2 linked regions of the Oryctolagus cuniculus genome follow. Each later gene encodes a partner of the first gene's protein in a complex. Links are inferred from orthologs where the notes say so. Each region holds a gene or a part of one and is shown on either strand. Other genes may lie near its edges.

Region 1 (7,427 bases):
GGCACCAGCACCGCCCGCACCCCGGCCGAGGGCGCCAGCCCCGCCAGTGTCCCGTTGTGGCTGCCTGCAGGGGCGGCCACCGAGGAGGAAGAGGAGGGGGAGGGGGAGGAGGCGTTCCAGCCCGGTGCGGCGGCGGCCGGGAACAGAGGCTCCATGGCGGCCCTGGGGCCAGCGCCAGCCCGCGTCTGTCTGCAAGAGAACAGGGCGGGGCGGGGCGGTGAGGGGAGCGTCCGCCCAGGCCCCGCGGCCCCCGCCCAGCGGCCAGCGGGGTTAGTCGCGCTCAGCTTGGCTCGGCCGGGAATCACATTAAGCAAATTGTCTGGAAAGCGATCCAGGAGAGGAAGGAGCCCTGGCCCGCCGGGACGGGGGCAGCGGGCCGGGCCGCCAGCCCAGACGGAAGCCGTCTGTCCGTGCGAGGTGGCTGCCCGGCGACTGCCCCTCCCCGCGGCTCCTCGGAGCCCTGCGGGGAAGGGGCCCAGGACCAGCAGGTGCCAGCACCCGGGGGCCCACGAAGCACGGGCAGAGGGGACGGGTAGGACAGTGTGGGACAGCCCTGAACCAGCCGGCCCCCCGGGGTGCCCAGCTGTGCCAGCTGCGGTGGCCCCGCCAGCGTCTCCGGCCTCCAGGGCATGTGTCCACGCCCCCCGCAGGCCCTGCTCCAGGGCACGTGACCCTGGGCTATGGGACCAGGGGACAGCAGGACAGGGGAGGTCGTCACAGCTTCCGGGGCGCAGGTGGACACTGCTCTGGGGCACTGGCCGGGGCGGGATCCGACCCCACATGAGACGTCTCTCAGGCCCCTGGCAGACAAGGTCCCTCCCACCCCAGGCGGGCAGCAGCGAACACAAAGGAACACGTGCAGCACATGCGGGGGGGGGGCCGCGGGGGGCGGGGCGGACGGGGTGTCCCCCCAACAGGGACAAAGGGGAAAGAGGCAGACGCAGAGGCGCCACGGGCCCGGGAGAGAGTGGTGAGGTCGCGCCCATCACAAGTGGTGCGTCAGAGGTCACGTGTGCCAGAGGTCGCGCCCCTCAGATGGGGGTCACGTGTGTCAGAGGTCCTTCCTGTCAGACGGGGGTCATGTGTGTCACAGGTTGCGCCCCTCAGATGGTGGTCACGTGTCAGAGGTCACACCCCTCAGATGGGGGTCATGTGTGTCAGGTTGCACCACTCAGAGACAGAGGTCACGAGTGTTGGAGGTCGCGCCCCTCAGAAAGGGGTCATGTGTGTCAGAGGACATTCCTGTCAGACGGGGGTCACGTGTGTCACAGGTCGTGCCCCTCAGACAGGGGTCATGTGTCAGAGGTCATGCCCCTTAGGAGTTATGAGTGTCAGAGGTCACACCCCTCAGACGGGGGTCACATATCACACCCCTCAGACAGGGTGATGAGTGTCTAAGGTCACGCCCCTCAGACGGGGGTCATGAGTGTCGGAGGTCATGCCCCTCAGATGGGGGTCACGTGTACCAGGTCACGTCCCTCAGATGGGGGTCACGTGTGCCAGGTTGCACCCCTCAGATGGGAATCACGTGTGCCAGGTTGCGCCCCTCAGACGGGAGTCACGTGTGCCAGGTCACGCCCCACAGATGGGGTCACGAGTGTTGGAGGTTACAACCCTCAGACGGGGGTCACGTGTCAGAGGTCATGCCCCTTAGGAGTCATGAGTGTCAGAGGTCACAACCCTCAGATGGGGGTCACATGTCAGGTCACGTCCCTCAGACGGGGTCATGAGTGTCGGAGGTCACGTCCCTCAGATGGGGGTCACGTGTGCCAGGCCGCGCGCCGCAGGCAGCTGTGACGCGGTGGGCACCCGTCTCAGCCACTGTGGGACTTGGCTGTCTGGAGCTCTCACGGAAACCGCGCAGGGCCCAGCCCAGGCTCGACCTCCCCACGGCAGCCGCCGCCCCCGCCCCCGCCCCGCTCCCGAGGGCTGCCCCGCGACACCCCTGCTCCCTGCTCCCTGGGAGCCTGCAGGGACGGCTCCGCGTCTGGGTGCCAGTGGGAGTGGGTGTGGCAGTGGGAGCGACCCGCGGACAGGCGCTCGGTCTCCAATGAATGAATGAATGAATGAATGTTTGAATCGCGCCACGCCGGGGTGCCTCAGGAGAGGCAGGGACGAGCTACTAGGACATAAACCCGGTTCCTAGGGGGACAGCGAGCAGGTGTCTTTCCTGAAAGTACAAACCTTGAGTGTGAAAAGTAGTCACTTGGACGAAGAAATACACAAGTCAGGCTCGGGAGGTGCACAGCGCCCGAGCAGCGGACAGGGCCTGAGCCGGCCGGGCAGACCTGGGGGCTGTGGGGGCCTGAGCCGGCAGACCTGGGGGCTGTGGGGGGCCGGGCAGACCTGGGGGCTGTGGGGGCCTGAGCCGGCAGACCTGGGGGCTGTGGGGGGCCGGGCAGACCTGGGGGCTGTGGGGGCCTGAGCCGGCAGACCTGGGGGCTGTGGGGGGCCGGGCAGACCTGGGGGCTGTGGGGGCCTGAGCCGGCCGGGCAGACCCGGGGGCTGTGGGGGCCTGAGCCGGCCGGGCAGACCCGGGGGCTGTGGGGGCCTGAGCCGGGCAGACCTGGGGGCTGTGGGGGCCTGAGCCGGCCGGGCAGACCTGGGGCTGTGGGGGCCTGAGCCGGCAGACCTGGGGGCTGTGGGGGGCCGGGCAGACCTGGGGGCTGTGGGGGCCTGAGCCGGCCGGGCAGACCTGGGGGCTGTGGGGGCCTGAGCGAGGCCTGGGCAGACCTGGGGTGGCTGTGGGGGCCTGAGAGGGGCAGGGCAGACCTGGGGAGGCTGTGGGGGGCCTGAGAGGGGCGGGGCAGACCTGGGGAGGCTGTGGGGGGCCTGAGAGGGGCGGGGCAGACCTGGGGAGGCTGTGGGGGGCCTGAGCCGGCCCTGGGGGGGCTGTGGGGGGCCGGGCAGACCTGGGGGCTGTGGGGGCCTGAGAGGGGCTGGGCAGACCTGGGGGGGGCTGTGGGGGGCTGGGCAGACCTGGGGAGGCCGTGGGGGCCTGAGCCGGGCAGACCTGGGGAGGCTGTGGGGGGCCTGAGAGGGGCTGGGCAGACCTGGGGGGCTGTGGGGGCCTCCCACAGGTGGGGTGAGACAAGATCTCTGCTTAAAAAGACGAGGTGGGAGTTGGGGGTGACCAACTTCCAGGCAACGCCCAGGAGTCCCCGTGGCCCTGGGCGAGGGGCGGGCAGGTCTGGCTGGAGCCTGCTCCCACAGGGGCCGCCGGGCGGAGGTGGGCAGAGCTGGCCCGGCACCCCACCCGCTCCGGGAGCACATGCGGTTCCAGCCCGGCTCTGCTCCCTGCTGCCGGGCGCCCTGGGCGGCAGCGCTGACGGCCCTGCCACTCCCGTGGGAGGCACCGGCTCGGGCTCTGGCCTGGCCCAGCTGTGACTGCAGTGGGCACTTGTGGGTGAACCAGGGACAGGAACTCTGTGTCCCTGTGCTCTCCAATAAACACAAAGCTCAGGGGAGAAACCAGAGTTCAGGGGTCTCAGATGAGGCCGAGCCGCCGGGTGGCTGTGCAGTGGGCAGGGGGCGGCGTGGGGGTCCAGGCAGACAGGACGCACGGCCCGAGGGGGGCTCCTCACGCAGGTCCTGGCACACGAGGCTGCCCAGGGGCAGAAGCTCCCGGCGCCCCGGCTCCACCGGCCAGGCCCTGGCTCCGCTGTCCAGGCCCCGGCTCCACCGGCCAGGCTCCTGCGGCTCTGAGACCTCAGGGCAACCGGGCCCAGGAACAGGTCTGCGGGGGGCACGGCCATGCGAGGGGGCCGCCGCACTCAGACGGGGCCCTGCACCTGTTTTCCGGGGGAGGGGCTTTTTGGCTGGGAGACAGCCCCCCCGCAGGGCTGTGCTCAGCCAGCAGGTCCCCCACACCCGCCCTGACACTCAGGACCCTGGGCTGCCCCCCCAACCCTCCTGGCACAACCCTTGTGTCCCTGAGCCTGGCTGCCGGGGGGGGGGGGGGGGCTGCCGAACCTGGGCAGGGGGCAGAGAGTGGGGCGGTGCCTGGAGTTCAAGGCACACCCCCCAGCGCCGCCCCTGGCTCTGGCCCCTCAAGAGGGCCCTGGGGGCAGGGCCAGCTGGGGCCCGGGCCACCCCTCCCCGCTGGCCTGGCAGGACAGCCCAGCCTGGAGAGGCTGAAGACGGCTCTCTGGGCCTAGCATCTCGCCCTGGGGCCCACACCCCACCAGGGGGCCACGCGGGGTCCCCGGGGAAGGTGGAGGGGATTCCTGCCTCAGACACCAGGCTCCACCCCACCCAAGGGCCTGGCCCAGGCCCCCTCCCGGAAAAGCCCCCTCCCGGCACAAGCCCACTGAGCGCTGCGGGGCTCACCTCTGGGTCGGAGCCATGGCAACCCCTAGCCCGTCCCCCACACCCCAGGGGCCCTCAGCAGCCTGTAGTCAGCGGCAGCACCCTCCCCACAAGGGGAAACTGAGGCAGGGGTGGGCTGGCCTGAGTACCCCAGCACCTCACAGCCCGTGCACTCTGGAAACCCCGGTCACCGTTTCAGACCCGAGGCCGGCCGCTGGTCCTCGCCGGGCCCCCCGCCCCCATATTCTCTCCCAAGACACCAGGGAACCACCGCTGCCTTCGGGTTGCTGGGCTCCGGGCCCCCAGGCAGCGCCAGGCGGCGAGCAGGCCCCCAGGACCCTGTGACGGTCCACAGCGCCCTCCCTTCCCGGGAGGGTTGCCCGGAAGTCGGGGGCTGCAGGGTGCAAGCGCCCTCCCGGCGGCCGGCAGAGCCGGCGGTCAGCGCACACCCGACCGCCTCGCGCCCAACCGCGGACGGCCCCCCCCCCCCCGCCCCACCGGACAACCTGCGGCGCTCGCCCTGGCCCCCGCTGCCCGCACCCTCCCCAGCCCTGGAATCCCCCCAGTCGGGCCACCGCTCAGGTCCCCGCGGTTCGGCCACGACCCCGCGCGCGCGAGGGCAGGGGCGCTCACCTGCGCGGCGGCCCGCGGAGCCGGTCGGGTGCTGCGCTCGCTCCGGGCGCCGGGCGCCTGCGGGGCGGGGCGCGTGGGGCGGGGGCGCCCGCGGGGCGGGGCGGGGCCGTGGGGCGGGGGCGCCTGCGGGGCGGGGCGGGGGCGCCTGCGGGGCGGGGCGGGGCCGTGGGGCGGGGGCGCCCGCGGGGGGGGCGGGGCCGTGGGGCGGGGGCGCCCGCGGGGCGGGGCGGGGCCGTGGGGCGGGGGCGCCTGCGGGGCGGGGCGGGGCCGTGGGGCGGGGGCGCCCGCGGGGGCCGGGGGCGGGGCCGTGGGGCGGGGGCGCCCGCGGGGGCCGGGGCCGGGGCCCGGGGGCGGGGCCCGGGAGCTTCACCTGCCTGGCGGCCCGCGGCGCCCAGACTCCGGAGTGCGTCGCGCTGGCTCCTCCTAACGGTCCAGGCCCCGGCGCGTACTCTTGCCGCCCGCCGGAGTCAGGGAAAATGGGGTGCGCCCGCCCCAGGAGAAGCACCGGGCACTCGGGCTTCTCGCGGATGAACAGGGGCTGTGCCGGGGACGGCGGTGGGGTTGGAGACCTCGGGCACCTGCCCGGCTCTGGCCCTCGCGGGGGTCTCGCTTTCCCGCCAGCTCTCTGGGGCTCCTGGGAGTACGCGGGGTTCAGCCGACACCTGCAGTGTGGGCAGGCGGCCCGGAGGGTGTGGACAGGAGCCGAGGGTGGGCAGGGAGAGACCGGCTGGGCGAGGCTGGGAGCTCCGGGCCAGGCCCTGGGGTGGTGCCCACGGGTGCTGGCGGCTCCCAGGAGGCTGGGTCCCTGGGGGGGTCTGTTGTGGGGGTCGGGGGCTTTCGGGGAATGGCGGCTCGTTGGTCCCTGGCTTCTTCCCTGCTGCCCGGCAGGGTGCGCAGTGCCTGCCCTGGAGCTGACGCTGCAGTGCCGGGGCCTCTGGCCTCTGACCTGGCCAGGGACAGGGGACAAGGGGACAACGGGACAAGGGGACAAGCAAGCCGAGGGCAGCTGCCCCCCACCCGGCCCCAGCAGCCCCCTGCAGCATCTGTGGACAAAATGGACGGCTCTGTCCACGGGCTCAGAACCCGCGGAGCCGACGGGGCCGGTTTGTAAAGGGGGCGTTTCCGACCGAGCAGTGGAGCTGGAGAGAGAAGCAGGCACACGGGCCCTGGGCGGCGAGCGGCGGGGGGCGGGAGTGGTGCCTGGAGCCGAGCCCCCTCTGCCTTGCTCTCTGGCCCCCAGCACAGCCAGAGGCCGGGGGTGGGGTGGGGAGATGGGGCAGACAGTGTCCAGCCGAGGCGGCTTTGCCGACAGCGGCGAGGCCACAGAGAGCAGACAGGAAGCTGTGGAGGCTGAGCAGACGCTGTGGGGGAGACCCTGTGCTGGGGGCCCCGGGGGTGACACTGCCCTGACCTCCTCAGCCCCCCACCCACGGAGGCCGCTCCCGGGCCAGGCCTGGAGGGCTGCCCCGGGAGAGTCACCCCTGCTCCCCAGCCAGGTCCCCAAGCCCCGTCCCCAGCCCACTCAACCTCGCCCACCAGGGGCTCCCTCCAACCTGCCGCTGCCTGCAGGTGCCTGGGCACAGCTGGCGCCTCCTGGGAATGCAGGAGGGACACGGCCCAGCAGCCTGCCCGGGCCCCTGAGACCGGAACCCCGGGAGCCCTGATGGCCAGAGGTGGCCCGGCTGCCCCGAGCCCCTCCCGCACCCCAGCCGGCAGGATCCAGCTAGGTGAAGTGGGCGGGACGCTCAGACAGTGCCGATGGGTGTGGCCCAGGAGCCATGGCAACGGGACAGTGGCCACATGGACTCCCTAGGGGGACCCCAGGCACTTCTCACGGGGACCCGTACCGTAGCCGTGACCCACAGGGGCCTGCGACACCCCAGGTGCAGCTGCCTGCTCTGAGACAAAGGCCGGTCCAGTGACCCCTGGACTTCAGCCCCAGGCTAGAGCACCCCAGAGGGAAGGAGGGGGTGTGGCCCTGTCCGGCCGCCTCCCGTCACCCACGACACGGCCTGGGGCTCGCCCACCTCCGTTTCTCCTGTGAATGCCCTCAGTTCAGATGACCCTTCCTCCAGGAAGCCCCTCTGGGTCTCGGCCGTCTCAGGGCCCAGCAGGCAACAGCTTCCTGGGGAACCCCTGCCCACGCCCCTGTGCACCCCTGCTGACGCCCCTGTGCACCCCTGCCCACACCCCTGTGCACCCCTGCTGACGCCCCTGTGCACCCCTGCCCACGCCCCTGTGCACCCCTGCCCACACCCCTGTGCACCCCTGCCCACGCCCCCAGAGCACCCCTGCCCACGCCCCCAGGGCACCCCTGCCCACGCCCACAGGGCACCCCTGCCCACACCCCTGTGCACCCCTGCCCACGCCCCCAGGATACCTCTGCCCACGCCCCCAGGACACCCTGCCCACAACCCCTGTGCACCCCTGCCCACACACCCAGGGCACCCCTGCCCATGTCCCTGTGCCCCCCTACCCATGACCCC
Region 2 (6,883 bases), on another chromosome or scaffold:
GCAGCTCTGGCAGCTGTGTTCACTGGAGAAGCAGGGCTGAAAATACTCGGCATTGGAACACATCCTGCCTTTTATGTTTCTTGTCTCCGTGAGGCTAGAAACGGTGAGCCTGAGTGTGCCGGCGTGTCTCATTAGCATGTCACAGAGGGCGTCTCCCAGGTGCCGTGAGTTTAAGATTCGCTGATTGATTTGAAAGGTAGAATGATGAGGCAGGAGAGGGTTTCTTCTGCCCTCTGGTTTGCTACCTAAATGGCCACAACAGCCAGGGTTAGGCCAGGCTGAAGCCAGGGGCCACCTGGGTAGCAGGGCCCAAGTGTTGGGGCCATCTTTGTGCTGTCTTCCCCAGGCACGGTAGCAGGCAGGCGGGATTGGAAGTGGAGGAGCCAGGACTTGCAGCTGCTGTGCCACAGTGGCTGCCCTGGTATGGGTATTTTGATGGGATTTTATTTTTCCTAGCTAGTAAGAAATCTGACTTGTGTTGTCATTCATGTAATATCTTGGTTTGACGTTTATTTGTTACCTACTTACACATTTTATTTTTAAGAGGCTTTTATTCATTTATTTGAGGCAGAGTTACAGAGAGAGGGAGAGAGAGAGAGACAGAGGGCTTCCACATACTGGTTCACTCCCCAGATGATTGCGATGGCCAGAGCTGGGATGATCTGAAGTCAGGGGCATCTTCCAGGTCTCCCACGTGAGTGCAGGGGCCCGAGCACTTGGGCCATCTCCCACTGCTTTCCCAGGCCATAAACAGAGCCAGATCAGAAGATGAGCAGTGGGACATAAACTGGCATCCATATGGGACGCCAGCGTCACAGGCACAGGCTCAGCCTACTAAGCCACAGCACCGGCCCCCTCATATTTTAAAAAGTTTATTTTCTTGGGGTGAACGCTGTGGCATAGCAGGTTAAGCCACTGCCTCCAACACCGGCATCCCACATGGGCACTGGTTCTAGCCTTGGCTGCTCCTCTTCTGATCTAGCTCCCTGCTAAGGAGCCTGGGGAAGCCTCAGAAAATGGCCCAAGTCCCTGGGTCCCTGCCACCCACGTGGGAGAGCTGGAAGAAGCTCCTGGCTCCTGTCTTCAGCCAGGCCCATCACTGGCATTGCGGCCATCTGGGGCGTGAACCAGCAGGCGGAAGACTCGTATTCATTCTTCTCTCCCTTCTCTCTCTAACTCTTTCAAATAAATAAGTCTTTAAAAAAAAAAAAAGTTTATTTTCTTGCTTTGTTTGAAAGGCGGAGCTACAGAGATCTTCCACTGATTTGCTCCTCAATAGCCAGAGCTGGGCCAGGCTGAAGCCAGGCTGTCGCACCTGGGGGAAGCCAGGGAGAACCCCGTATGGGTCTCCCGTGAGGGTGGCTGGGAGCCAAATACTTAAGCCATCATCTGCTGTCTCCCAGGGTGCACCTCAGCAGGAAGCAGCATTGGAAGTGGAGGATCTGATCCCGGGCCTCTGGCGTGGGAAGTGGGCATCCCTAGGGGTTTAACCTGTGTCACTGTGCCTCCCCAGGACTGAGCCTAGAGCCTCCCACCTTGTAATGAAGCTCTGCCCAAGCTGCAGCCAGAGCCCTCCTTGGCACATTCCTATACTGGAAGTTCACTTGCCTCTCATGTGTAGTGAGGGTGGCCTAGCACGTAGGCTGTGGCAGCTGTCAGGGTGTGGGTGGCGTGGGTGCTTTGTGGTGCACGAGTTCTGTGTACCTGCTGGATACCCAGGTGTTTACCGAGTCCACCCAGTCAGACCTGCGCATCGCACCGAGGGTCTGAGAAGCTGGCTGAGCTGCCCTGACGTTCTCAATGGCAAGAATTCCCCAAATGTCAGTGTTGGGGCCGGTGCTGTGGCACAGCGGGTTAATGCCCTGGCCTGAAGCGCCGGCATCCCATATGGGCGCTGGTTCAAGTCCCGGCTGCTCCACTTCCAATCCAGCTCTCTGCTATGGCCTGGGAAAGCAGTGGAAGATGGCCCAAGTCTTTGGGCCCCTGCACCTACGTGAGGGACCTGGAGGAAGCTCCTGACTTCGGATCGGTGCAGCTCCTGCCATTGTGGCCAACTGGGGAGTAAACCTTGGATGGAAGACCTCTCTCTCTCTCTGCCTCTCCTCTCTCTGTGTAACTCTTTCAAATAAATAAACAAACAGTAGTTATTCATCTTGGTATAGAAATAAAGTGTAGACGTGCAGTGTAGACGTCATGGGTATTCAGGCCGTGCTGACTTTACCTTGAATCTTAAACAAAGGCCAAGGGGACTGAGGTTCAAGACAGGTCTCCCTCGGGAAAGGGGGTGGGTGATTCAGACCCTCCTGGCCGTCTCGCTTCAGAGAAGGGCTCTGCGTTTGTCTTGGTGAATCTGAAACCAAGCCCTGTGGGGAGGCCAGGAGGTGGGTCAGGACTGCACATTCTCACCTCCCAGAGGTGGCACTGCGTGTGGGAGGAGAGGGTCCTGGGAGCTGGCCAAGGAAGGCTCGGGGGGAGATACTTTCTCAGATGGTGACAGGTGGAAGGTGTCCTACCAGCCTGGTCACTATATGTGAAACATCTGCTTTAAAATAAAAAGTACTCTTCATTTGAAAGGCAGAGATACAGAGAGAGAGAGAGAGAGAGAGAGAGAGAGAGAGGTCTTCCATCCACTGATTCACTCCTCAAATGACCACAATGGCCAGGGCTGGGCCAGACCCAAGCTAGGAGCCAGGAGCTTCTTCCTGGTCTCCCACATTGGTGCAGGGCCCCAGGCGCTTGGACCGTCATCCACTGCCTTCCTAGGGCACTAGCAGGGAGCTGGATCGGAAGTGGAGCAACAGGGACTTGAACCTGCGCCCATATGGGATGCCGGCACTGCAAAGGAGCAGCTTTACCCCCTGGCCACAAAGCCGGCCCCGTACGTGGGTTTCTGTCTCATCGGAGAAGCGAAGTGCAGCGCCGTGACCGCGAGAGGCTGCTTGGTGGCAGCATGGAAGGCACGAGAGCCCGGCGCTCCAGGGCCAGTGTCACCTGGGAGCCCGTCACTGCCCCTGCCCGCCTCTGAATCTGCACTTAGTGGTTCAGGTACACTGTACAGCTTGAGAAGCCTTGGCCCAGAGTGGGGCCGGGCTGACGGCCGGGCTGGACACCATTGCGTGGCGTCCCGGCCCGCCGTTGGGTGAAGGTGTGGGTGCTGTCGCGGTGCCTGGGCCCTCACTGCCTCCTCGTTTCTTGTGCGCACAGCAGATTCTGTCACACTTGGTATGGGCACCGTCTTTACCATTTGCAGCTCCTTGTCCAAGACTAATTTTGTGTTACGTTAAATCACTTGCTTTGTGCTCAGCTTCCTGCTTACGCACGGGCACAATTAGGAGACGGGAAGCGTCTTCAGAAACACGCACGTGCTTTCCAAAATAGGGGCAGCTTCACTCCCGGCACCGGCACAACCTGAGGTCGCCAATTAAGGGGCTAAATCCAGTCCCAGGGCGTTCTGCGCCCTGATTGCTCTGGCTCGTGCGTCACGATACCGGCGTGAGGAAACAGGATACAGGTGGGAGACGCGTAGACAAAAAACAGCTGGCGCCCGGACTTAAAACACCCCCAGTCTGCAAAGAGACCCAAATCCAGGAGACGTCGGTGCCAGCGCCGTGAGAAGCATGGGCCGCCGCAGAGCCAGAGGAGTGCTGCTGCCCCCCGGCCTGCTGCTGCTGCTGCTCTCGGGGGCTGCGGCCACGGCCACCCTCGCCCTGGACGGCGGCACCGGCCAGGACAGCCAGGTGAGTCCAGCCGCCCACTCCCCTGTGCGACCCCCAGCATCTGCATGGCCGGGCATGTGTGGTGGGGGGTTGAAGGACACCAGACTGGACTGGGCTGCCCTGTGGTACTGGGATGTCCCCTGCAGGCAACTGATGGACACTCGGCTTACTGGGGACCACTAGTGACATCAGAAAACCTCTGTGACACACGGGGCACCGGGGAGCCTGAAGTGGCCTCCCCAGCCGCGGTGGCGCGTGGTCAGCCTTAACTTGCACACGGCACGCGCTCTCGCCGGTGCACATGAACCATCACCAAGTGTCCGTTGTGAGGATCCGCGACTTCCTGTGGTGATTTATTTCTCTCTTGTCCGTTTTGAAAAAGTTCCAAGAAAGACTACATAAAGTCGACCATTAAAAATGGATTTTTCTCTGAAATTGCCGGATGAGTTTGAGATGGGCCATCCGTCAGCAGGCTGCTCGGAGCAGTGTCCCCACCCCGGTGTCTCGGAGCTGCCACTCACGGTGCACGGGGAGTGACAGGTGTCCCGACCCTCCTGCCCCAGGCCCGGGGCGGAGCAGGCGCTGTCTGCACTTGCCTGCTTGCCTCTGGCACGGGGAGTGACAGGTGTCCCGACCCTCCTGCCCCAGGCCCGGGGCAGACTGGACGAAGTCTGCACTTGCCTCAGGCTTGCCGGCTTTGCCCTCCGTCTAAGGGGCTCCCTCAGCCTTCCCAGCCTGGGGCGGGGAGCGCCTCTCCATGTTGAAGGGCCTGCGAGTCTGGGGGCCAGATTCCTGACCTCTCTCTCCTTTGTCATCTGCCTCTCTCTGAAAGCCCACGCAGGAAGGGGCGGCGGCGGAGCAGAGCGGGCTCCTGACCTTCCTGGCTCGGTGGCACGCGTGGACCGCCCAGGCCCGGGGCACGCCCAGCCGAGGGGACACGGGGGCCATGTCCAGGCGGCAGCAGGGTCCGCCCCCTCCGCCGGCCCCGCCCTGCCGGAATTTCTTCTGGAAGACCTTCTCCTCCTGCAAGTAGCTCTCGCTCGCCCGCGGGGACCCCTGGAAACCGAATAAAATATGATCAGCAGAGTGGGCGTGAGCGGTGTTCTTTCCCAGCTGCCCCGGGGCCTTGGCGCGCCGGGCTCACCGCAGCTGGAGCAGTTTGGGATCCAAAGGAAATGCTGCTTTCTGGTGGCGAGCAGGGCGTGCTCAGTGCCCCCCCCCACCTCCCGTCTTCCTGTGGTTTACAATAGCCAAAGGCCACCCCCCCCCACCTTACAGAGTGACAGCGCGAGCTCTTCCATCTACTGGTTCACTTTCCAAATGGCCAGAAAGGCTGGGCTGGGCCAGGCCAAAGTTGGGAGCCTCTTCCAGGTCTCCCACGCGGTGCAGGGGCCCAGGGACGTGGGCCATCCTCTGCTGCTTTCCCAGGCCACAGCAGAGAGCTGGAGAGGAAGTGGAGCAGCTGGGACTGGACCCTGTGCCCGTATAGAATGCTGGCCACAATGCCGGCCCCAAGGCCACCTGTCTAATAAGAGGTCAGAATAACGTTTCAGTTGGTTTTGATACAGATTCTCTGAAAAATGCTTCCCTCGCATTCAAAGCAGCTTTTCAACATTGTGTTCAAAGAGCAAAATATTCATGTTGTAGCCAAAATTAACCTTAAAAATATTTGAGAGATATTCGGACGGAGAGACAAGGGCCCATCCACTGGTCCACTTCCCCGATGGTCGCGGTGAGCAGGGCTGGGCTAGTCCAAAGCTGGCAGCCAGGAGCTCACCCAGGTCTCCCCCAGGGACCCAACTGCTGCAGCCACCACCTGCTGCCTCCCAGGGTGTGCAGTGACAGGAAGCTGGGCCCAGGAGCCAGAGCCGGGAATCGAACCCACACACTCTCATATGGGGTGCTGGCATCTTAGCCACTAGGTCAAACGTCCACCCCTCTAATTAAATTTTTAAAGGATTTTATTTATTTATTTGAAAGGCAGAGTTACAGGGAGGGAGAGGTAGGGACAGAGGCAGAGAGAGAGGTCTTCCATCACTGGTTCACTCCCCAGATGGCCACAATGGCCAGAGCTGCGCCGACCTGAAGCCAGGAGCCAGGAGCTTCTTCCCAGTTTCCCACACAGGTGCAGGGGCCCAAGGACTTGGGGCATCTTCCATTGCTTTCCCAGGCCATAGCGGAGAGCTGGACTGGAAGAGGAGCAGCCAGGACTGGAACCAGTGCCCATATGGGATGCCAGCACCCCAGGCGAGGGCTTTACCCACTACACCACAGCGCTGGCCCCTCTAATTAATCTTGAAACTGTGCCATTAAACAGCACCGTGCTGACTTGATTATAAAAGTGACCCCTGAACTTGCTGTTAGGTGCTGGTTTTAATCAGTGACTTCATTTGTTAGTGATTTTCACAGGTTGTAGCTTAGATTTGCCCTGAAGTTTATTATTTCGTTCATTCTTTCTTTTTCCAAGATTTATTTACTTGGCAGGCAAAGTAACAGAGAGAGGGAGAGACAGACAGGTCTTCCATCCACTGGTTCACTCCCCACATGGCCATACTGGCAGAGCTGAGCTGATCCAAAGCCAGGAACCAGGAGCTTCTTCCGGGTCTCCCACGGGGGCCATCTTTACTTTCCCAGGTGCATGAGCAGGGAACTGGATCGGAAGTGGCGCAGCCCACATGGGATGTCGGCGCTGCAGGGGGTGCTTAACCTTCTGTGCCACAGCGCCGCCCTGGCGTTTATAATTTCAAACCAGATACGGGGGCAGCACTGCTGCCTAGCCTGTACCTTGCCTCCACTTCCTTCTGAAGTGTATGTATTTATTTTAAAACTGTATTGATTTTGAAAGGCAGACAGACAGAGACTACCTCCCATCTACTGCTGGTTCACTGCCCGAAAGCCTGCAGCGGCCGGGGCTGAGCCAGGCAGAAGCCGCCAGGAGCCTGGGCTCAGTCCGGGTCTGCGGTGCAGGTCCTGGAGCCGGCACCTGCTGCCTGCAGGGCGCACGCGCAAAGCACAACGCTGGCAGGACGGGTGCTGGGACTCCGGCTTGGGCGCTCTGGCGTGGGACGTGCATGTGCTAAGTGGCATCTTGACTGCTGCGCCAGCGCCTGCCCCACCTCAACTCCTTTTTTTATTTTTTATTTATTTGAAAGGCAGAGCTTGGAGAG

Evidence for each region.
Region 2: the proteins of SSTR5 (region 1) and CORT are in contact, whole or in part, in a cryo-EM structure (PDB 8X8L), measured with the Homo sapiens proteins. The link is inferred for Oryctolagus cuniculus from reciprocal best matches to the Homo sapiens genes SSTR5 and CORT. Residues at the interface, in NP_001044.1 of Homo sapiens: Tyr89, Leu96, Gln99, Asn100, Ser103, Asp119, Gln123, Glu182, Thr185, Cys186, Asn187, Ala188, Trp190, Gly198, Phe201, Ile202, Thr205, Phe264, Phe265, Asn268, Asn271, Glu279, Ala283, Tyr286, Phe287, Val290, Tyr294; in NP_001293.3 of Homo sapiens: Cys93, Arg94, Phe96, Phe97, Trp98, Lys99, Thr100, Phe101, Ser102, Ser103.

What each region holds. Positions count from the first base shown.
Region 1 is NC_091450.1:33,804,806-33,812,232, forward strand, and holds the start of SSTR5 (somatostatin receptor type 5), read right to left. Parts: upstream 4,994-7,427; 5' UTR 4,942-4,993; intron 190-4,941; 5' UTR 156-189; coding exon 1-155.
Region 2 is NC_091438.1:157,764,257-157,771,139, reverse strand, and holds CORT (cortistatin precursor), read left to right. Parts: upstream 1-3,617; coding exon 3,618-3,737; intron 3,738-4,548; coding exon 4,549-4,749; downstream 4,750-6,883. UniProt on the Homo sapiens protein: Binds to all human somatostatin receptor (SSTR) subtypes. It also inhibits cAMP production induced by forskolin through SSTRs.